3 linked regions of the Struthio camelus genome follow. The protein of the gene in region 3 purifies or fractionates together with the protein of the main gene of each other region. This does not show direct contact. Links are inferred from orthologs where the notes say so. Each region holds a gene or a part of one and is shown on either strand. Other genes may lie near its edges.

Evidence for each region.
Region 1: the proteins of KLC1 (region 3) and KIF5C purify together in Homo sapiens (co-immunoprecipitation; 4 studies listed by BioGRID and IntAct, counting the BioPlex papers as one, with this or other methods). This does not show direct contact. The link is inferred for Struthio camelus from reciprocal best matches to the Homo sapiens genes KLC1 and KIF5C.
Region 2: the proteins of KLC1 (region 3) and KIF5A purify together in Homo sapiens (co-immunoprecipitation; 7 studies listed by BioGRID and IntAct, counting the BioPlex papers as one, with this or other methods). This does not show direct contact. The link is inferred for Struthio camelus from reciprocal best matches to the Homo sapiens genes KLC1 and KIF5A.

What each region holds. Positions count from the first base shown.
Region 1 is NC_090947.1:43,665,222-43,672,957, forward strand, and holds the start of KIF5C (kinesin heavy chain), read left to right. Parts: upstream 1-4,722; 5' UTR 4,723-5,060; coding exon 5,061-5,186; intron 5,187-7,736. UniProt on the Homo sapiens protein: Microtubule-associated force-producing protein that may play a role in organelle transport. Has ATPase activity. Involved in synaptic transmission. Mediates dendritic trafficking of mRNAs.
Region 2 is NC_090969.1:2,321,096-2,329,047, reverse strand, and holds the start of KIF5A (kinesin heavy chain), read left to right. Parts: upstream 1-4,863; 5' UTR 4,864-5,066; exon of another isoform or gene 5,067-5,624; 5' UTR 5,625-5,653; coding exon 5,654-5,782; intron 5,783-7,952. Other genes in the region: DCTN2 (dynactin subunit 2), read right to left, coding at 1,782-1,850, 3,233-3,268. UniProt on the Homo sapiens protein: Microtubule-dependent motor required for slow axonal transport of neurofilament proteins (NFH, NFM and NFL). Can induce formation of neurite-like membrane protrusions in non-neuronal cells in a ZFYVE27-dependent manner.
Region 3 is NC_090946.1:72,488,402-72,495,648, reverse strand, and holds the start of KLC1 (kinesin light chain 1), read right to left. Parts: upstream 3,090-7,247; 5' UTR 2,734-3,089; intron 1-2,733. UniProt on the Homo sapiens protein: Kinesin is a microtubule-associated force-producing protein that may play a role in organelle transport. The light chain may function in coupling of cargo to the heavy chain or in the modulation of its ATPase activity.

The sequences.
Region 1 (7,736 bases), on a different chromosome or scaffold from region 3:
GAATTGTACCAAAACTAATTATTCTGTTTCAAGTTGTGTTTTCTACATTAGCATATAAAATACAGATCAACATTTTGTGTGTATGTATATATAAAAGTCATATTTTGACCTGAAATTTTTCTCAATCTAAAGACTTTTGAATTATAGAAATTCCCTTGAAACAAGTTCTTATAAAAATCTAGTTTAAATCTTTGAACTGCATTACCTTCCTAGTTATTCTGAAGTATTTCCTATTGCCTATTTTAAAAACTCTTCTATGATTTAGAGTAAGTAACATATCAAGATGCTATTACACAGAAATAGGAGGAAATTATCTCCTTTATATTGCATGCTAGTGAGCATCTTAGGGCTGACTGTAATAAGAGACAAAATACTGAACAAAAAGAAAGGAATACTGATCATGATCCAAGGTTTTTTTTTTTTTAGCTAAATTTTTAGTTCAGCCCCAGGTCTTATGTCTCACTGCTAAATGACTGTGCAACATCATAATCCAGTCCTGCCAAGGTGCTTTGCCTGTAAGGCAAAGAGCAACTTGTGTCCATTCAATTCAACATTGCCTTTTATTGCCTTTCATTATATGCGTCAGATGGTAAATGCCTCAAGGACTTTTTTCCTCTGTAAAATAACACTCTTACATATTGCATTCAATTTAATAATGATGTCTAACAACATTTCAAATTCAAGAAAGAACAGCATGCAATACATGAAGTCCAAAAGCAAGATAGTAAATAGCTGCTCACAAACTTCCAATCACTTAAAAGCGTGGCGCTATATGGCCATGTCCACTTGGATTCAACAGCCAACGGCTACCAAATTAGAAGCTCTGACTATGAGGCATGAAATCCACCTGCTGGCTCTGTTCTTGGTAACAATTACCACAAGCCCTGGAGCTCAGCATTTCTTAGATTAAGTGGTGCAAGCAAATGTTTCAGTAAAAGGGATATGGCTTACAGAAAAATTACATGTGTATAAAATTGGAGATTACTGCAGATGATGTTGGAACATGAAATAAAGAAGCACGTGTTTTTTAAGTACAAAGGAAAAAGACCTGCAGGACAGGAACTGCAAGAAAGGAACTCCAGTGACCCAGATCACTCAAAAAAATATCACCTGCCTGGCCAAGGGAAATATTGCTTATAGGATAACCACCTTGGGTGACTGAGTGGTGGTTACCCAGAACCTATACCTGTTCTTTGCCTAGACAAATGGTCTATAGCCTGGTCTCTCCTGAAGTATTAATGGGCAGCCTTTTCTTTGGTGATGCATGGGTATAGATCGCAGTTCCTCCCAACTGTCTTCTCAACGTTTCTAAGTTCATTTTGTTGCCTGTTCTTCAGTCTTTGGCTTCCTAGTTTTTTATTCCCTTTGAACAGTTCTTTTGGGTCTATGGAAAAGACGCAGGTTTTCACATGCCTCTGTTATCTATCTCCTTACTTCTGTGGGATCATCTCTTCGTAAGAGTGTCTGTTTTGCTGTTCAGCCCTGCTATCACATAGGTCCCTTCTGTTGGGTTTTTGCTTCAGCCTGAACAGCTTGGCCATAACAGTGGCTCATGTGTAGAGAAATGGAATCTCATTGTTTTCTTATGGACAGTTCCCCCCCGCCACCTCCAGCCTCAGAGAAGGGGATTTGTTATTCCTTTGGGACTTCTTCAACATCCTGAGCTGTTTAGTGAACTGTCTCAGCTGAGGCTGGCTCAGCTTGTGCGTTTCTTCAGGAGCAAGCAGAACTTGCTGTCAGCCCCTGTATAACTCTGTCAGGGTCATTTGAATGGTGGAATTTGAATCTAGCTGGAGAACGTGCCCCACAGCTTCAAGGAAAGGAGATTGATATCAAGGCTTGCTTTCTTCCACTTTTGTGGTGTTGGTAGCATGAAAATTCTGTGTCCAGGTATAGTGTAGCTCACAAAAGCCAGGCAGTGTGTAATGGTATTTTCTGGAAGTATGCTATCTGTTTTTTTGGAGAGAGGGGGGGGAAAAAAAAAAAAGTAAGATTACAGGAATGGGGATGAATGCTTTCCTGTATCTTCTGAGTTCATGTTTCTTGTGATGCAGTTTCCCAATAAACAATAAATCATACCTTCCACCATTTACTACTCTGAGTGAGGTACCAGGGCATCCAGATCAAGGTGGAAGCTCACAAGCTCATGAAGTTCTAATCACCTCCAAGACTGACTGGAACCTAATGTTCCTACTAAGTTGCTTAACGCTCAACAGTCTAGTAATAACAAGTAAAAAGAGCAGGTTTATGACAATACAGTATTGTCATACATTGACAATACAGACAATATAATATTGTGACAATATTGCTAAGAAAAATGCTCTTCAGTGTGTTCTTAGTGGCTGTAGATTATACCTGCTCTAATTAGAAAATAGAAATTTGCCTATTGTTATCCACATTGAGCTCTTGATATTGGAGAAAAATACAAATGAATTCATCAGAACAGTTGTCTTTTATGACTAAGCCCCTGCTTGTCATGACTTATGAATTTGCTATTCAGGGCAAAAGCTTGAAACATAAAAAGAAATAAAAGCGCTAGATAATTGGTAATCCACAGGAATAAATCACATTATATAATAATGTCTTATCACATCCTGCACATTGCTAACTCTCTTTGATGTAATTACTTTTAAGAAGGGCATGAGAATCTTTTTAACTAGCCTGCTCTTTTCATATCCACATCAGGTAATGAGGACAACCACTGAGCTAAAAGAAAGAGAAATCTCCCTAGGACCGCCAAAGAACTGACCATTGTCATCTTAATTATGATTGAGGCTAATGTAATGCAACTGAAACTCCTTTCTTTGGAGGAAACTGATTGCAGGGGTTGCTTGGAGTGGCTAAAGTCCAGGGACTGTCTCTTACTTACGGGAAGACCTCAATGGTTGTTGCATGTGTCTTTTAGCAGTCTAACTTGCAGGGAGAAACGGATGGAGGAGGTGGAGGCTAAATAAGGTAGTGTAGACTATTTCAGACAACTCTAATCAATTAAATGAACTACCCTCCTGTCCCCAACCTTGTACCAAGGTTAAGTTACAGGTACTTTCAGCAGACAAAGAAGAAATAGGGCTAAGTGAAGAAGGAGAGCAAATGTGAAGAGTAGGAAGAGGCACTAGGACTTTGTTTTTTTTCAGATGAATATTCACTGACTGAATAGTCACAAACTTCTTGTTAACTTAACAAGGTCAGAGCTTCACTCAGAGCTACTATTTTTTTCTGCCCTTTCTCACAAAAATATCTATGGGTAGTATAAAGAATGGGAATGCTGGCATGACAGCTGAGGAATAAATAAGCCTTTAATCTCTTTATCAGAGGCAAAGAACAACAGATTTCTAGTCATACCCCTTTGTTCCACCTTTACCATGAAGTTGCCCGTTTAGTGTATGAAATCTCTGTAGAAGAGAGAAACCAGCCTAATCCAGGAGGCTTAATCCTGGTGAAAAAAAAAAAAAAGAGTACAGGGGAGCCGTTGAGGGGAACTGTGAGGGTCGGGGGAGCCGTTGGGGTTGGGGGGGGGTGAGAACCGCTGAGGGGAGCCGTGAGGGTCGGGGGAGCCGTTGGGGTTGGGGGGGGGAGGTGAGAACCGCTGAGCGGAGCCGTGAGGGTCGGGGGAGCCGTTGGGGTTGGGGGGGGGAGGTGAGAACCGCTGAGGGGAGCCGTGAGGGTCGGGGGAGCCGTTGGGGTTGGGGGGGGGTGAGAACCGCTGAGGGGAGCCGTGAGGGTCGGGGGAGCCGTTGGGGTTGGGGGGGGGAGGTGAGAACCGCTGAGGGGAGCCGTGAGGGTCGGGGGAGCCGTTGGGGTTGGGGGGGGGTGAGAACCGCTGAGGGGAGCCGTGAGGGTCGGGGGAGCCGTTGGGGTTGGGGGGGGTGAGAACCGCTGAGGGGAGCCGTGAGGGTCGGGGGAGCCGTTGGGGTTGGGGGGGGGGAGGTGAGAACCGCTGAGGGGAGCCGTGAGGGTCGGGGGAGCCGTTGGGGTTGGGGAGGGGGAGTGAGAACCGCTGAGGGGAGCCGTGAGGGTCGGGGGAGCCGTTGGGGTTGGGGGGGGGTGAGAACCGCTGAGGGGAGCCGTGAGGGTCGGGGGAGCCGTTGGGGTTGGGGGGGGGAGGTGAGAACCGCTGAGGGGAGCCGTGAGGGTCGGGGGAGCCGTTGGGGTTGGGGGTGAGAACCGCTGAGGGGAGCCGTGAGGGTCGGGGGAGCCGTTGGGGTTGGGGAGGGGAGTGAGAACCGCTGAGGGGAGCCGTGAGGGTCGGGGGAGCCGTTGGGGTTGGGGGCGGGGGTGAGAACCGCTGAGGGGAGCCGTGAGGGTCGGGGGAGCCGTTGGGGTTGGGGGGGGGTGAGAACCGCTGAGGGGAGCCGTGAGGGTCGGGGGAGCCGTTGGGGTTGGGGGGGGTGAGAACCGCTGAGGGGAGCCGTGAGGGTCGGGGGAGCCGTTGGGGTTGGGGGGGGGGTGAGAACCGCTGAGGGGAGCCGTGAGGGTCGGGGGAGCCGTTGGGGTTGGGGGGGGGGTGAGAACCGCTGAGGGGAGCCGTGAGGGTCGGGGGAGCCGTTGGGGTTGGGGGGGGTGAGAACCGCTGAGGGGAGCCGTGAGGGTCGGGGGAGCCGTTGGGGTTGGGGGGGGGTGAGGGTCGGGGGAGCCGCTGCGGCGCGCGCCGCTCCCGCCGCCCGCCACCTGCCGCGCGGACTACGCCCCCCAGCAGGCCGCGCGCGCGCGCACCGCGCCCGCGGGGCGGGGCGGGGCTGGCGTACTGCGGTGCAGCCACAAAGCGCGGGGCTGCGGGAGCGGCGGCCGGTGCCCGGCGGCGATGGCAGCGGGCCGGCTCTGAGCGGGGCGGCGTGAAGGCTCCGGGCGCCCCACTGCCTTCCTCCAACGGCCGCACCGCGGTGAGAGGCGATGGTTGCTGCGCGGGCGGAGGCTGAGGTGCGCCGCTGCCGCCGCGGCGTGTGAGGCGGTGCCCTGCCCTGCCCGCCCTCATGCCCCGCTAGCGGCAGGGAGGCCGCCCACAGCGCCCGCCTCGCAGAGGGCTCCGGTGCGGCAGCCCGGTGCGGCAGCTCGCCGGCGCGATGGCCGATCCCGCCGAGTGCAGCATCAAAGTGATGTGCCGCTTCCGGCCCCTCAACGAAGCCGAGATCCTGCGGGGGGACAAATTCATCCCTAAATTCAAAGGCGAGGAGACGGTGGTCGTAGGGGTAAGTGTGTCCCCCCCCCCCTCCTGCCCCCGGACACCTCGCCGTCGCCGGGCTCCCGAGCGTCCGGCGGGCGCTGCCTGCCGGGGCCGCTCGCCCGTTGCCGCCGCCGAGGGCGGGGTGGCGGCTCCTGCCTCCTTCACCTTGAGGGTGGCGCAGCGGGGAGCCCCCGGCCCCGGAGGCGGTGGGGGAGGCGGCGGCTGATGTCATGCCCGTGACTGGGCATGCTCGCAGCTCCCCTCCGCTGCTGGGGCGGGGGGGCTCGTTGCGGCAGCCGCCGGCCGGCCGGGAAAGTCCCCCCCCCCGCCGCCGCCGCCCCCCGGGGCGGTGTGGAGCGGGGAAACGCGCCCGGGCGTCGCTCCCCTCCGCGCCGCCGCAGCCGCCTCCGCCGGCGGGTCGTGCTGGCGTCCAGAGCCGGGCGCGGACAAAGCGCCGGCGGGGTGCGGGGTGGGGGGGGGGAAGCTGTTAAATCCTCATCTCTCCATCGGTGCGGCTTCCTTGCTGCAGATAATTTCAGAGGATGCAGCTTTTTTTGTGTGTGATTTTTTTTTTTTTTTGATGTGCTGTGTGTCTTGTGCGTCATTGTGGGTGCGTGACAGGCTGCGTTAGGCAGGCGCGCTGAGGCACCTGCGCTTGCAGGCTTCGGTAGGAGAAGTGGAAGTGCTGTGAGAGCGAAGACTCGGTATCTACCCTTATTTAAAAAGACCCACACCCGGGGAAGTTTTTTCTTTTCACTATATATATAGAGATATATATATATATATAAAAAAAAATTTTAAACATCAACCCGTTGCCACGCTTCCAGAGACAACGTGCTCTCCAGTAGGACAAATTTTGTTTTTTCTTGCCCCTTTATAAGGGACGGACTGCTCGTAAGAGTAAAAACTTTAAAATAAGTCATGCCGATCACTTTGTGATTTGGGATGCGGCTCCTTTGCTGACTGGTTGACATGGCGCAGCATGCTTGTCAAGACTGCACGCTGAAGTGCCCCTGCTGTTCTTGGAGTTGGAGCTTTCCAAAACTGGCTTCTCGGCAGGGGTTCAGTTCACAAGTCTGCTAGCGATGGTCTTGGTGGGTGTGGATGTACAATACTGGACACTTTAAGTTCGGTTAGTTTTCAGCTTACTGTCTAACCAGTAGTGTCTTTGCTGTTTTGTTTTATATATTGGTCTACTTTGGTTAAGCTATCAAGATGTCCAATACTTCACTATGATAAAGAGCCCTTAAAATTACTAATACTAAGCATATATTATTACTTACATGCTCAATTAATGTTCTTATTTAAACCATGAGTTAGCAGAAACTTTTTTTTTTCCATGAAAGCTGCTAAATAATTATGGATGAGTGAGGAAAAATTGAGTCAATTTTGGACATAAGTGAATGACTCATTTCTCTTTATTTGTACTTAACTAATTTGGCTCTATAGGAAACACTTTTCTGTTATTTGAAGGTTATAGTTTTTAACACCTACACCAATGTGTTAGAGATGATAATCTCAATCAACAATACAGGGCTGTCACTTTGGTCTGCAGATATTTGGAACGAAGGAGGAGTAACTGTACCACAGTCATTTGGATACTTAAAAAACAAATGTCAGTAGATCTTCCTCCTCCCTTAAATAAGTAAACCCTCAGACATATGAAAAGTAGGTTAAAATACATCAGTTGAATATCCTTTTAACAATATCATTTCTCAGAGAAGCAGAGTTCAGAATACTTCTTTCCCCTTCAGTGAATGTGCGGGTGGCTTAGAATGCATCGTTGTTTATTAAGTGTCTGTCTGGGAAAACAGTAACTATGATGCATCAAAAAAGGTGTTAATATCTTGCAGATAATTCCCTTAGGATAAAGATTAAAAGAGAAAATAACAATTTTTAATTTCTACCATGGGAGTTTAAAGACTGGTGAGAGAGGGAAAAATACATGTATTTTAAATAATGCATTTTTATCCTTATATATATGTTTTCAGTTTGGCAGGATCATTTTTCAGGGACATTATTAGTCATGAAAATCTGATCTTAAGCTTAGGGTATGCTTTTCCCTTCTATTCATGGGGCAAAGTACAGGTTCTTGCTCAGGTGTACATCTTGGTCGTGTTAATTAGTGGAAAATGTCCTCAAATACAGCTTGCTTTTTCTAAGAGAAACCATCCCCCTGGGGTTCCGTGGGGATATTTGTAGCTACTTGCAGTGTTGTAAATATAAATGAAAATAAAAATCTTTACATATTCGTTGTCATCTCTATTCATGGTACTGGGTCATGGAGATTTGGTGCAACTTGATCTACAGTCATATACAGATCTGTACTTGATACTGCTTTCTACTGATTTACTGCAGTACTGTAAGTATTATTTACTCATTCAGAGTTACTGCTTAAATCCAGCACATAATGTTTAGCTGGGGGAAAGAACCCTGGTTCTAATGGAAGATACTATCAGAGTAAACTCCCATCTAGAAAACCAGCATTTTAATCTCAAAAAGTTCTTAATGTTACGTTAAACAAAAACAAACCAGAAATGAGCGCCAGTGTTTTATTAAAGCATTTGGAAGAAGA
Region 2 (7,952 bases), on a different chromosome or scaffold from region 3:
TGCTAATTCATGCCGGCGGCCGCCGCAGCAGAGCCCACACCCAGCCGCCGGCCTGGCACCCGCCCGGCAGGGACTGCGGCACCCGCGGCTCCCCGGCTCCGGCGTTATCGTCCTCGGGCCCCCACGGCAGCTCTCTGGGCCCAGCCAAGGGGCCCTAAATCCTTTATTTCGTGGGGTAGGACATCACCGCTTCCGGTTTGGAGCAGCCGAAGGGCGAGGCTCCCAGAAGAGGAAACCGGAGGAATTAAAATCCCGGTTAACCCTTTGCCTCCTGCCTACAGCTGGGGCTGCATGGCGGGGAAAACGGGTGCAGGGGAGGCAAGTCACGGACACGGCACCACTGTATCACCGATGGCGACTTCAGAGTATCTGAGGCCTGACTGGTGCTGTTTGGGGTGAAAAGAGCCAATTTCAGTCTGATTTACTGACTGAACCTGCCAGGACATGGGGGTCAGCAGGGATGCATTTGCCTGCAGGTGCCAATTTGCCCTGTCGTGTTTTTTTTACCGCTCAACGGGAGTCCGAGTGCCCAGCGTCCTCCCGCTGCAGCCATCCAGCTCCGACACACAGGGCCCAGGCATGCAGCACGCGGAGCGTCACACCAACCCCTACGTGGCAGGACGGGGCCGAGGCTGCGCTGTCCCGTGTCGTTCCCCCCCCCCCCCCTCAAACACCAGCTGGGCCACGGCGAGAAGCCGGGTCTCGCCCCCCGCGCCGTCGAGGCCTGGCTCCCCCCCACCCCAGCTTGGGAGCACGTGCCGGCGAAGCGGGGCCCAGTGGGCGGGCAGGCAGCAGGAGGGAAAAGGATCTGCAGCGCCAGCTGGGATCCGCGGGGCCGAGGCAAGGAGGCAACGCGAATGGCACGAGGCAGCGGGGCGCCGGGAGGGCGCACGTCACGCACGCGGCAGAGCACCGGGCCGAGCGAGCGTCCCCGGGAGCACACCAAGGTGGGGATCATGGCTCCGTCAGGGTGGCCAGAGCAGTCGTTCCGGCCGGGAGCCGCCTCGGCCAGGAGCGCGGGCGAGCGGGAGCCCTTGCCCTGCCTCCCAGGCAGAGCTGGGAGCCGCCTGGCCGCAACGCAGCCCTGCCTGCGTCCCTCGTGCCATAACACGCAGGGCCTCGAGGACGGGGGCTCGGCAGCCTGAGGACAGAGCCGACCCAGCCCTGCCTGGGCGTCAGCCCCATCTCAGGGACACCACGGTCAGGTCAAGGCTGGCAGCCTCGAGGACGTGGCACGCATCGCTCCCAGAACAGCCACGGCCTGCATGCAACAAACGGGCTGCGGCGCAGGGCTGGGCCGCGGGACCCTACTGCTATTTGGGGCTGTTTTTATGGGGCCTGACCCCCGTCGGCGTGGCCCCTGTTGTCCTCCGCATGCTGCCAGCCTGCGTTTCCCGTGCCCGGCCCCCCAACCAGGCTCACGTCCATTGGCAAAGCCAATGGGGGGGGGGGGGGCGGTTCGCCAGCCCTGCTCGCGCCTGCTGCCCTCAGCTGCGTTACACCGCGTGCAGACCCTGGGGACAAGGACAGGGACAGCCACCCGGCACTGGGCAGGGATTAAGCCCTGCCAGCGCTTCGTGGCCCCCCGAAAACGTTTGCAGTTTGACCAGGGGGTGAGCGTCGCTGGGACGCAGCACCGTGGCGGGGGGACGTGGCGCTGCAGAGGCGTGCGCGGGGACAAGGGCCGTTTCCCGGTCCCGGCGTGCCGGACATCTGCAGGAAGGCGGCACAGGCAGGTTCGCGCGCACCCGCCGCGCGGCACGGCCCCAGCGAGGCCTTACCGCGTCGAACTCGGCCTGGTCGTCCTCGGGCAGGTCACTGGTCTCGTACACGTCCGGTTCGTTCCTGGCCTGGCGATGTAAACGGGCTCCGGTGAAACCGGGTGGTGGCGCGGGGCCGGCCCTGGGGGGTCAGGTCACCCTCGCAGCACCCACAACCACCCAGCCCAGCACCCCAGTAACATCACTCTCACCATCAAAGATGCCCACAATCCCCTCAGCGCTCCCTACCGTTACCCCCACACCTCAAATCCCCCCACAAAACACCCTCAGGTGCCCCCTCAACCATGGACACCCCCCTGCGGTTACCCTCCCCCACATACCCTCAGTCTTCCCAAATATTCCTGATCCCTCTTAGACACCCCCGGCACCTCCCTAACACCCCAGTTACTGTGCCAGGTTCCTCCGATCCCCCCTGGACAGGTCTGCTCCCCTTCAACAGTCCCAAGTGCCCTCTTTCTCCCCAAATGCCCCAGTTACTGTCCCGGGTTCCCCTGATCCCCTCCAAGTGGGGGGGACTCCCTCAAATACCCCCCCACTTCCTGGCACCTCCAATCTCCCCAAATGCCCCATCTACCCCTCCAGCCACCTCCCATTCCTCCGAGGCACCCCCTAATCCCCTCAGCTACCCCCCAGCCATCCTCGATCCCCCCCAGCCACCCTTGATCCCCTCAGGCCCCCCCCAAAAGCCTCAGACACCCTCAATTTCCCCCCCAGGCACCTGGATCCACCCCAGACACCCCCGATCCCCTCAGCTACCTCCAAAAAGCCCCAGGCCCCCTCCATCCCCTCAATGACCCCCCAGACCCTCCCGATCCCCCCCCCAGGCCTCCTCCATCCCCTCAATGACCCCCCAGACCCCCCGATCCCCCCCCAGGCCTCCTCCATCCCCTCAATGACCCCCCAGACCCCCCGATCCCCCCCCCAGGCCTCCTCCATCCCCTCAATGACCACCCAGACCCTCCCGATCCCCCCCCCAGGCCTTCTCCATCCCCTCAATGACCACCCAGACCCTCCCGATCCCCCCCCCAGGCCTCCTCCATCCCCTCAATGACCACCCAGACCCCCCGATCCCCCCCCAGGCCTCCTCCATCCCCTCAATGACCCCCCAGACCCCCCGATCCCCCCCAGGCCTCCTCCATCCCCTCAGTTACCCCCTAGACACCCCCGATGCCCCCCCAGGCCTCCTCCATCCCCTCAATGACCCCCCAGACCCCCCGATCCCCCCCCAGGCCTCCTCCATCCCCTCAATGACCCCCCAGACCCCCCGATCCCCCCCCAGGCCTCCTCCATCCCCTCAATGACCCCCCAGACCCCCCGATCCCCCCCCAGGCCTCCTCCATCCCCTCAATGACCCCCCAGACTCCCCGATCCCCCCCCAGGCCCCCTCATCCCCTCAGTTACCCCCCCCCGCCCGGCCCGGCCCGGCCCGGCCCGGCCCGGCCCGCACTCACGATGCCGGGCAGGTCGGCGTACTTGGGGTCGGCCATGGCCGGGCCGGGGCCGGGGCCGGTACCGGTACCGGGTCGGGCCGGGCGGCGGCGGCGGCGGGGCGGGGCCGGGCGGGACTGAACGAGTCTCGCGAGAGCTGCCGGCGCGGGGCACGCTGGGAAACGGAGTGCTGGGGGGGCGGGGGGCGGGGGGCGGGGGCCGCTCTCCGCGCGCCCCCTTCCCTCCCTGCGCGCGGGGGTGGGGGCGGGTGCACCCGGGGTGGGGGAACACGTAGGGGTGCAGGGGGGGGGTGGGTGCACATGGTGGGGTGCACACTGGGGGTGCACATGAGGGGGGTTCACTGGGGGTGCACAGGGGTGTGGGTGCACCCCGGGGGTGCACGCTGGGGGTGCAGAGGGGTGTGGGTGCACATGGGGGGTGCACACTGGGGGTGCCCTGCGGGGTGGATGCACCCCACAGGGTGCATGCTGGGATGTGCACGGAGGGTTGCACATGGCGGGGTGCACAGTGGGGGTGCCCTGGGGTGTGGGTGCCCCTCGGAGGGTGCATGCTGGGAGGTGCACAGAGAGTTGCACATGGGCAGGGTGCACGCTGGGGGTGCAGAGGGGTGTGGGTGCACATGGGGAGATGCACAGGGGGTTGCACAGTCGGGGTGCAGAGGGGTGGGGGTGCACATGGGTGTGAGTGCACACTAGTGTCAGAGTGCACAGGGTGAGTGTGCGCGGGTGTGCGTGTGCAAAGGCGGGGGTGGGCGCCCACACAAGAGCGTAGGAGCGGCCCCCCGGGTGGGCACATTCCAGGGTGAGTGCCCACTGCCGGGAGTGCACACAGGGCACCGCTGATGTGGGGCGTGAAAGCGCATGAGGTGGGGGTGAGTGCACACTCCTCTGAGTGTGAGTGCCCCCCCCCGTAAGGTGTGTGCAGGCGCTGCCTGCGGGTGTTTGTGGGTCCCTGGGGGTGAGGGGAGGGGTGCTGCAGCCATGAGCTGTCCCTGCATTGCCCCCCAGCTGGACGCCCAAGGCCCGGACGGGCCACCAAGGACACGAGCGTGCCAGGCCTCAGCTCTGGGCTAGGCCCTGCCAAGTGCCCGGAGGAGGCTGGGGGAGGGGGGGGCCGTGAGTCAGGACTCCTGGGTCCCCGGGGCTGGGGGGAGGGGAGCTGATGCCCTGCCGGGGGGGGGGGGGCAGGCAGAGAAAGGGGGGGGGACCAGCCCTGCAGCCAGCCCCGGGGGTAAATGCCCTTGAGGCTGCGGCTGGGCCAGTGCTGCCTTTGGGCTGGGGTCCTGGCCCCCTCCCTCTGTGGGGTCAAGGCCCCCCCGGGTGTCCTGCCCCCCTCCTCCAAACACTGGGAAAGGGACCCAGGCATCCTAACCCCCCCCCCAGCCTCTTCCCCAGCTGAGAGAAGGACCCAGGCGTCCTAGCCCCCCCCCTTTGATGAATCAGCAGTTTGGGGAGGGCAGGTGGCAAGGCTGGGGCTGCCCTTGCTGGGGGAAGGGAATACACTCGGGGGGGGGGGGGGAACCCTCGCCCCCCTTCCCCATTCCGGCTCCGTCCACCTTAAGGGCCGCGGGCGGCTCCACCTTAACGGGGGGGGGGGGGCGTGCGCGGGGGGGCCCGGCCTCCCCCTCCTGGTACCGGGGCTGCGGCGGCGCCGCGGTCACTGGAGCACGGGGCAGCAGCGAGCACCGGCCGCCGCCCGCACCCGCCGCCGGGCCCTGGGTCGCATCCTGAACTGCTGGGTACCACTCGCATCCCCGGCTACCACCCTGCATCCTTGGGTACCACCCGCATCCCCGGGTACCACCCTGCATCCTTGGGCAGCATCCTGCATCCTTGGGTACCGCCCTGCACCGCTCGGTCGCATCCTGCATCCTTAGGCGCTGCCCGATCCCTAAGGAGCATTCTGCATCTCTGGGTCGCATCCTGCACCCCTGGGTCGCATCCTGCCTCCTTGGGTGCTGCCTGACCCCTAGGGAGCATCCCACATCTCTGGGTCACATCCTGCATCCTTGGGTACCACCCGCATCCCTGGGCAGCATCCTGCATCCCTGGGTCGCATCCTGCACCGCTGGGTACCACCTGCTTCCCTAGGTACCATCCACATCCCTGGGTCGTATCCTGCATCCTTGGGTACCACCCTGCATCCGTGGGTGCTGCCTGACCCCTAGGTAGCATCCCGCATCCCCGGGTGCCACCCCACACCCCTGGGTACCACGCGGCCCCTGGGCAGCATCCTGCACTCCCAGGTGGCACCCCACACCCTTGGGTAGCCCCCAGCACCCCTGGGCACTACCTGCATCCCCGGGTACCACCTGCATCCCAGGGGCGCTCCCAGCATCCCTGGGCAGCACCCCACACCTTTGGGTAGCACCCACCTCTTGAGACCCCCCCTCAGTCCTCCGGGACCCCCCGGCACCCTCCAGCATGGTGGAGCCCAGCACCGAGTGCAGCATCAAGGTGCTGTGCCGGTTCCGGCCGCTGAACCAGGCCGAGATCCTGCGGGGGGACAAGTTCCTGCCCGTCTTCCAGGGTGACGACAGCGTCGTGGTGGGGGTGAGTGTGAGGAGGGGGACAGTGACCCCAGATCCCCCCAGTGGGGCAGAGGGGGACCCGGCCCACCCAGCTGTGGTGGGATTGGGGGGGGAATAGGCAGCCGGGGGGGTACTTGAAGGGGCAATAGGCAGCTGGGAGGGGGATTTGGGAGGGGATAGGCAGCCGGAGGGGTACTTGGGGGGGGGCAGTAGGCAGTTGAGGGGGGATATGGGGGAAAATAGTCAACTGGGGGGGTACTTGGGGGGAATAGGCAGCCAGGGGGGATTTGGGGGGGCCATAGCCAGTCGAGGGGGTGCCTGGGGGAGGATAGGCAGCAGAGGCATGGATTGGGGGGGGTTAGGCAGCTGAGGGGGGGGATTGGGGGGAAATAGCCAGCCAGTGGGGTACCTGTGGGGGGGAATAAGGAGGGGGAATCGCCCTGGGTGTGGTCAGCAGCGAGGGGACCCAGAGCACGATGGGACGCAGCCTCCTCGTAGCTCCCCCCAGGGCGTTTCCCCCCCCCTCCCCGCAGCACCCCTCATTCCCCTTCTGAGGGCTCTGGGTGCCCCCAGTCCCCCCAGTCTGTCCCAGTGCCCCCCGAGGCGGGGCAGCTGTTTACAGCGAGTGGAGACACCCAGATGCCCCGGGGTTGGGGGGGGGTGTCAGTGCTTCAGCACCCCGGCAGGATCGGGCCCGGGGGGGGGGGGCAGTTTGCCGCAGATCCTCCCTGCAGCACGGCCCTGCCCGGCCCTTTGTTAGGCTCTACCAGCCCCCCCACCCCGGTACCGGGGGGGGGGGGGGAGCTGCTGGAACCGGAGCTGGGAACCCCCTATAATAGGGCCTGGTGCACCGGGGGGGGGGGTTCCTGTTCGGGGGGGCTCCTCGGCCCAGCCGGCCTGGCCCCCCCCAGCCCCGGCATGGGGGGGGGCAGGGGGTTCCCCCGGAGGGGACAGGGGGATCCTGGGGGTTGTGTAGCTCTGCGGCTGTGTCATGTGGGGGTGCAGCTGTGTTGGGTGTTGTCGCACAAGGTGTTGCAGTGCCACGCGGCTGTGTCGGGTCGGGGCAGTGCGGGGCGTTGTGTCGGTGCACAGCTGTGCCGGTGCATTGCAGGGTGTTGTGTGATTGTGTGCCGTTGAAGCTGTGTGTCGCAGTGGTGGCTGTGCCAGTGCAGGGTGGAGTGTAGCGGTGCGGGGTGTCGGGTTTGGGTGCGGTTGTGTCAGCGCGGGGTGTTGCGTGGCTGTGTGCGGCGGGGTCTGCGTGTTGCTGCGCTGGTTGTGTTGCGCGACTGTGCGGCGCAGGGCGGCTGCGTGTTGCTGCGTTGGTTGCGTCGTGCCTGTGCCTCGCCGGCTGTGTTGTGTCGCTGGGCGTGCGGTGCAGGCTGTGTGCGGCTGTGCTGGGGGTGGCTGTGCGGGGCTGTGCGGCTGTGCTGGGGGTGGTTGTGCGGTTGTGCGGCTGGGCCCCGTGCGTTGTGTGTCCCCCGGGCGGCGGCGGTTCAGCACCGGGGCCTGGACAGCTCCCGCGGCCGGCGGGGGAGGGGGCGGTTGGGGGGCGTTTGGAGGGGTGTATGGGGGTATTGGAGGGGTCTGAGAGGATGATTAGGGGGTGTATGGAGGGTCTGGGGGGGTTGAGGAGTATATGGGGGGCTGGGGGTGCTCTAGGGCATGTATGGGGGGGGACTGGAGGTGTCCAAGGGGGTCTATGGGGGTCTGGGGGTATTTGAGGGGGTGTAGGAGGATCTAGGGATGTTTGGGATGTGCATGGGGGGCTGGGAGTGTCCAAGGAGGTGTATGGGGGGGTCTAGGGTTTTCTAGGGGGATGTATGGGGGCTGGGGGTGTTTATGGTTTCTGGGGGGGGGTCTGAGGGGGTAGAAATATACAGGGGCATGGGTCCTTGTGGGAGCATTTGGGGGGCCTGAGGGTATATGGGAGGCTGAGACTGTATAAGGGCGGGTGTGAGGTCTGGAAGTATATGGGGAACTGAGTGTGCCTGAGGGAGTATATGGGGGGCTGGGGGTGCATGACAGCTAATATGAGGGAGCTGAGGGGTATAGAGGTCCTGGGAGTGTATGGGAGGTGTATGGGAGGCTTGAGAGTGTTTGGAGGACTGGGGGTGTATGGGGATCCGAGGGATTTTTGGGAGGGATCAGGAGTATATGAGGAAATATATGGGGGGATCGGGGGTGCATGGAGA
Region 3 (7,247 bases):
TCTTTAAAATAAAGAATATATTATGCTTATTTGCCTGAACTTGCTTGCTTTCCACTCCTCTTAAAGAAATACTATTTTTGTAATTATTTGTACAGCGAATTAAGTTTTAAAACAATCATAAACTATGCATCTGCAGATATGCTGTTAACCCTACAATAAACTCAGTTGCATTTGTCTGCCACAGAAGCCAAGCAGAGGAAGAGATGGAAGAGTAACTGCACAAGTCCACAAGTCTCAAGAGAAACAGAAGCTGCATTAAATGGACTCAGAACTCAATATGGAGATACAGTACTTCCCTACACTCCCAGCGAAATAACAGACATAAATATGTGTGTATATGTATACAGATACACGTACAAAGACATATAGAGAGAGAGAGAGGTGTAGGGCATAAAAATAGCACACAAGTGAGGGTTTTCCGGTATCATCAAAGAAAGTTCCTCATAAGCAGGGCAAGCAGCAACTGCTCTTATATCACATACAGCATTCTTGAGCGTTATTCTCGATTCTTTTATGTCAGAAAGCATTCAGTAGATCCTATTCTGGACTCCTGCAAACTCCATTTGCAGTTTAGTGTGCAATTCCTCTTTTGCCAAAAAAGACTTACTTTTTTTTTTTTTAAATCATTTTCCATTATTAGGCCACTTTTACCATCTCACAGTAACGTGATGAACAGTAAATGAGACAATTTCAAGACAGTTTTAGGGAGGTAGACATAACTCTTTCATTCTCTTTTTTAATTACATACGATGGCACTTTTATGATAAAATGAATGGAATTTAAACCCAACTGCTGTTCAAATTTCTCATTAATGGATTTGTTTAGCCCAATCATCATCCTTTGGAAGGAGAAAGGTTGCCAAACTTTAACTGCAACATGATGCAGAAGTGATACTGCATTCTTGTGTGACTCTGAGAACTGACAATATCTATTCTCTGCATTTCCTCACATGGTTCTGCATAATACAAAAAGCATATCCAAAGAGAACAGCTAGAGATTTCCACATTTTTAATGATTTCATAGAAATGCGTTATTAAACCATGTGCTCACCGAAAAAAAAAAAAAATTGTTTAATTGGCTTACAAAATACAAGGCCTTTTGCTTAGAATCACCAAATGGATCAGTTTTCTCACTGCTGCCAGTAAATGCTGAATGTGTTACTTTCAATTATAGCTATAATCCGAGGGTTATATTATCCTCTACTATGTTTCAGTGAAGCTTTGGAATTCATAATCAATTAAAATAAAGCTATTTTCCAAAAGAAATCAAAATTCAATGCTGAATTTAAAAAGATCTGTTCAGTTAAAATGCTTAACCATCTAAATCTTGAAGGTTCCTTTTTAGCTTTCCAATGCACACCCTCTGAGCATAAGTTTCCTATTTAAGTGCAGTGCAAATACAAAAGGGGAAGAGAAAGAGACAATTACTTCCTAGGGTAATTGTTACTGTGCCTTCGGCCAACAGCAAGAACTCCGAAATTATATTTTAAAATAAGTTCTCATTTAATACAATTTTATGTTTAACTGTGATATAAAATAATATCAGGAGCGACATTTGCTCACATTTTTGCTGTTCAAAGTAAGCCATGAAAACAACCTTTCACTTTTTGCTAGTTGGCCTTACTTTCTGATTCTGTATTCTGGTTCCATATTCAGTATTTGACTACCATTGTTACATTTAAGTAATAAACACTGTAGGAAATGATTAACAAGAAAAAAAAAAAAAAAGCATCATAATTGACTTAGCCTTCAAAAAGCCAGTTAGCAGCATTAATTTAGGTGATGCTGCTTTGATCATTAAAACATACTCCAATACCCTTAGAACAAAGCATTCATTAAAGAATCAAGAAGTCCTTTCTTGTGACTGTACACAACTGCTGTGCAGATTTACAGATCAGACGTTTTGTTATCTAACAATATTAAAAACAAAAAGCCAAAAAGAGAAAGATTTTTAGAAGTCTTTCTAATTAACGTCTAGGCAAACGATAGACATCAATAAAGTCAGTAATGTATTAATGTTATTTCGCTAAAATTAAGCATTCATAATCTACGTTTTCCTTCATTATTTTGGAACTGTAGATATCTCCTGGGTCAAGATCAAAGTCTGAGAATCGTCTGAGACCGTAGCATGGGTTGGTGCCCTATAACGTTATAAATCTGGTCACTGCGAAACCCAAGCTGTCTTCCCGAACTCCTCTTTCACCATTTCAGAATTAGCAACGACTAGCTTACTAGGCACAATAAAGTAAAACCGGCGCGCGGCCGCTGGCCCGCCAGCCGGGAAGCCGGGCGAAGCGGCGCCCCCTCCCGCCGCCCCGCCCTGCCCGCGGTCCCCTCCCTGGGCGGCGCCCGGCCCGGGCTGCAGCGCGGACCGACGCCAGCAAGGGGACAAAGCGAAGCCGATCACATCCCTGCCGTGGGGGTGGGGGCGCCTCCTCCTCCCCCCCAGCGCTGCGCTCCCCACGGGTGATTACAACTAACAGAGCTTTAGATAAAACACGGGGAAACATCCTCCCCTTCGCCTCCCCCCCACCCACCTACCCAAAAAACCCAACCCACCGCACACGAAACGGGCCGGCTGTCAGCCGGAGCTGCAGGCGACCAGCCGGCCAGCCCAACCTTTTGTTGTTTCTGCCTAACGGCAGACAGGAAGGCGCAGATAAAAAGCCCCGAAGCCCCCGGCTGCCCCCCGCCCCGCCGCTCGCTGTCAGAGGCTGGCGCGCCCCTCACTCACCGCTCGGTGCTGCAGGCTCGGGCGATGTGCGCAGCGCTCGCAGAGGCGGCGGGGGCCGCGCAGCCCGCGGGGGCGGAGAAGAGGCGGCCGGAGGAGGATGTCAGCGATGGGCGGGCGGAAGGGAGGAAGGAAAAGGGTGTTTTTTTTTTTTTTTTGGGGGGGGGGGCGGGAGAAAAGAGAGAGAACGAGAGAGAGAAGCGAAGGAAGCGGGTCGGCACCGCGGCCGCTCCGAAGGCCTGAGAGGCACTGACAGGCCCGGCCCGGCCCGACCCGACGGCCGCGGAGGTCGGCGCGGGGCCCTGCCTCCGAGGCGCGGGCGCTGACAGCTGCAGGCAGCCCCCGCCGCCGCCGCCCCCGCCGCCCCTCTGCCCGCCCCGCCGCCTCCGCAGCCCGTCGCCCCGCCCCGCGCAACATGGCGGCGCCCCCACTCCTTCTCCCACAGTCCCCCGCGCGCCCTTCTTTCTAGAACCTCCCCCCGACACGGTCTATGATGTCATCCGCCCCCCCGCCCCCCCCCCCGCGCGCGGCGGGTAACGGCCGCCCGCGAGGCGAGTGCGAGTCCAACGGCCGCCCCGGCCCCGGCCGCCTTGGGCAGCCGCGCCCGGCGCCCCTCCCTGCCCGGCGCCGCGCAGGGAAGATGCTGAGCCAAGGCCTTCAAGGGCTCAGGTGCGAGGCCGTGTCGGGGCAGACGGGCCTAGGCCGTGCCCCCTCGCCGGACGGGGGGGAAGGGCGCGTGTGCGTGAAAGGTGCTGCTGTCACGAGCAAAACCCGACGTTTGCTAAGCGCACGCTCAGGTGACCCAGCCTTGGTGTTGTCCCTAGGTAGGGTGCGGGTATTTCCCATGTTTATGGTTTTGTATGCCCTGGAAAGACGTTCTGGAATTTTGTTTTGCTATAAGGCTGACAATAGGACATAAAAAGCCCGTGGTCCCTTCTCAAGCACCTCTGGAACAAAGGCGCATTAAAGGAGCTGCAGCACGCAGGCAGCTTGCAGTCGATGTACAGGTCACACAAAGGACAGCCGAGGCTGAAGTACAAATGCTATGGAGGCTGGGTCCCCTCCCAGGATTCACGGGCTGCTAATACGTTTCCACACCCTTGTCTTAGGTGCGCATTGAACATAATAAAAGATCCCTATTGTTCTATAGGTTTATTCATAAAAGGAAAAACAAGAGTTTCATCATAACTTTTAGTGACACCAAGAACTGCATTTCCTTGCAGTGTCTCATTTCACTCCCATTCTCTCAAAAGAGGAGAGACTGGTCACAAGATTTTCTCCATATTGCTTTATATTCTGTTCAGTAGAAGTCCATCCCAGAAATGAAGGAAGATGGAAGGAGCCGGGGTTTGGGATTAAAGATATGACACAACAGTAAAATGTACATTAGGAATCATCAGGGAACAGTGACAGCCCAACTTTATGAAAGAGTTATTAGAGTCTAGACAGACTATTATGGGGCGTATTGCCTGCCTGAGCACCATACATGTAACTCCTACAGGAGATACAGGTATGAATCATTAACTTATGGAACCATGCGGAGGTATAGTGCTAAATCAAAATGTGTCATCTAAGTGGTATACCTTACAATATAAAAGGAAAGCTCTGCTTACGTGTTATTTGCCTTCACATGTAACACTGAACACATCTAGAAGATGGCAGATGTGAGAACAAGAATGAGGTGAGAAAGCAAGACTAAGAAGAAGCAGGAAGACGGAAAAGGAATCAAAGCTAATGCTGTCGTCAAAGAAGTAGAACAGGAAAAGACAGTTCACAGAAGCCTATGAGGAACAACATAAAGTTTGGGGGGAAGTGGATTGTCTACAGACTGCAAGGACAGAGAATTACTGTTGGATCTGAAAAGCTGAGGGAACTGAAGTATACTTCCAGAATACTGCTGATTCACATCTTACAGAGATCGAGCTTTCTAGCAAAAACAGTTGTGATACATGTACTTCAGAGCAGCAGCTTTTTGTGTTTCTCATCTCCATTTAAAATAACATTCCTCTGATAATTTTGTGTGGTTTATCATCACAGGGCAGCTTGGACAGGAAAGTCAGGGGATAGGCCAGCCTAACTATGTATAATACTGTGAAATAGGTGTTTGGACAGTAATGTGAAAAGGGGAAAAAAAAGGAATTGAAAGGCATTCCTTTATACAAACTACATTTTAAAAATAAGAATCATGCCTGTGGGTCCACAAGTTCAGCGTTTTCATGAATATGCAAGAGATTTAATTAAAAATAGAACGTCCTAATTACATAATTATGCAAGAGAACTGATTCAAAGGAACCACGCCTATCTTTTAAATAAACAATATTCATTACTTTCTTCCTATCACACATATACTTTACAAGATTTTCTGTAATTAGTTGCTTACCCCAGGGATCTCTGAGCATCTCTGAACAAAGCAACTACTCCAGCGATGACCCTGATTCATAATATGCAGGCTAATGAAGTATGCTTGCAATTTCTTGCATAAGTAGCACACGCTATAAGCTCCCCGGTGCAGGAAGGTTGATCAGTTCAATGGAACTAAAGCGTGGTATTACTCCCCTCTGTTTATGGCACGCAGTAGAAGAGCAGAGGCAAAAGAGACTTCGTCAGCCTGCTTCTTCCTCAAGCTTCTGCCTGACTGCAAGTACCATAAGAGTTTCTCTTCAGTTGGATCTTGTTTTTCCTGTCCAATCTACGTAAGAATTATCTAAGTTCTTCCAGCAGTAAAACTGTAATATTGCCCCACATTTGCATCTTCTCTTAAGGAGTTAGTTATCCTATTTGCCCTGCTTTTAGGATGAAGTGATCTAGACTTGCTGTCTCTAGAATAGTCTTTATCTGCCACAAAGTCACTGTGGTTTTCTGCAGACATCTCAGTGGATATTAAAACCCCAAAACATGTTATTTACACTGCCAGATTCTTTTTCCCTCAATATACCCATTTCTCTCCTCTCCCAAAAGAAGGTTTGTAATTCACAGTGGGAGGAAAAAAGCAAGCAGTAAAGCTAATACAACACAAAACTCTTACGTTTTGAGGTAACGTAACAATGTGAGAAATACACACAGCAAACTCCCAAGTTCAGTTTGACTGACATCCAGTCAGAGGAAGCTTCTACAAAGAAATTCATGTTCACTTCATTTAGGAAGCATGCGATGTTTTATTTTACCATTGTCATTCAAAAAAATAATTTTAGATTTAGAGCATCTTCCCTCCTAGAAGAAGGAGACAAAAGTTTTTTTTTTTTTAAATCTAATCCTACCGTCTATAAAATCCATGATTTCATTTTATAAATATGGGCTGCCATAAAGCACTAAATTGGAATAAATTCAACCACTGCTAAAATGCTATGTAAAAGCATCCTGGCAACAATAAATACCGAAAGGCCAGATTCAGGAACCTGTCTGGTTTTTCATCATGATCACTTGACAGTTGCATAAGCTAATTTATATTCTTTACAAAGAATTCATATTTCATAAAAGAATTTCCCATACGGAAAACAGCAAACAAAAATCACTGTTTAAGAGTCAAAAGCGTCAAGTACGTGGTTCCACACAGTTTTAGTCTAACTCCTTTGTGCTTATGTGCAATTAATGCACGCAGAACTACCTTGTTATTATGGAGCTCGAGCACTTTGGAGTAAAAGGACTGTATTTTGACATGATTCATTATTATACTCCAGGTGCCTGAACTTACCATAGGGAACCCACTGTTGGACATAGCATTAAAGTACTAAGTAAAATAAACACTGCTCACGATCCTACTCCCCAAGACAATATGCTTCATTTACATGCAAGTTAATTTTCCTTAGCCACAAGGATGTCTAAAAAGCTGCAAGAAATGAAAGGTAGTGTGCTTCTCCCTGCCCTTTTCTACCCTCTCTTCTATTTCCCCTGCCCTATTGTTAAATAACAAGAAGATCATGCAATGTAATTAAAGTTCACAAGGTCATTTCATTAGTTAATTTCTGTTACTCTTTTAAGCAGAGCAGGATGCTTGCTGTGGACATTAACATTTTGCTACCCCAAATTCCCTTCATTTCATAGCTATTACATAGCAGCATTATTAAAGTTCAAAGGACACTGGAATGTTTTGGAAAGCCTTTCAGTTAGCTCTAAAACATTTCTATCATAAAAAACAGACTAAAAATCCTCAACTAATTCAGTTAAAGTAACCAGATGAATGCTAGAAACTGTTAGACAACTTGCATGTCAATATTACTGTATGAACATAAAGAAAAATAGTAGACAATTTCAGCAACACAGCTACGTTTCTATATCCTCGTTTCCTCTATGATGTGCAAAGTATTAAATGATCAAGGATTTCCTGAGAATTGTGCCGTTGGACAACCCATAATATTCTGTGCTATATGAATTTACAGACACTGTCAGTATTTCCCAAGATACTTCAAACGGTAGAACGTCTAACAGTTTAGTTATCGTCAGAAGCTCTCCTCTACAAACCCCTTGACTTGTATCTTCACTCCCTGCATCCAAGGAGTAGGTTCCCACCTCTGAGGGAC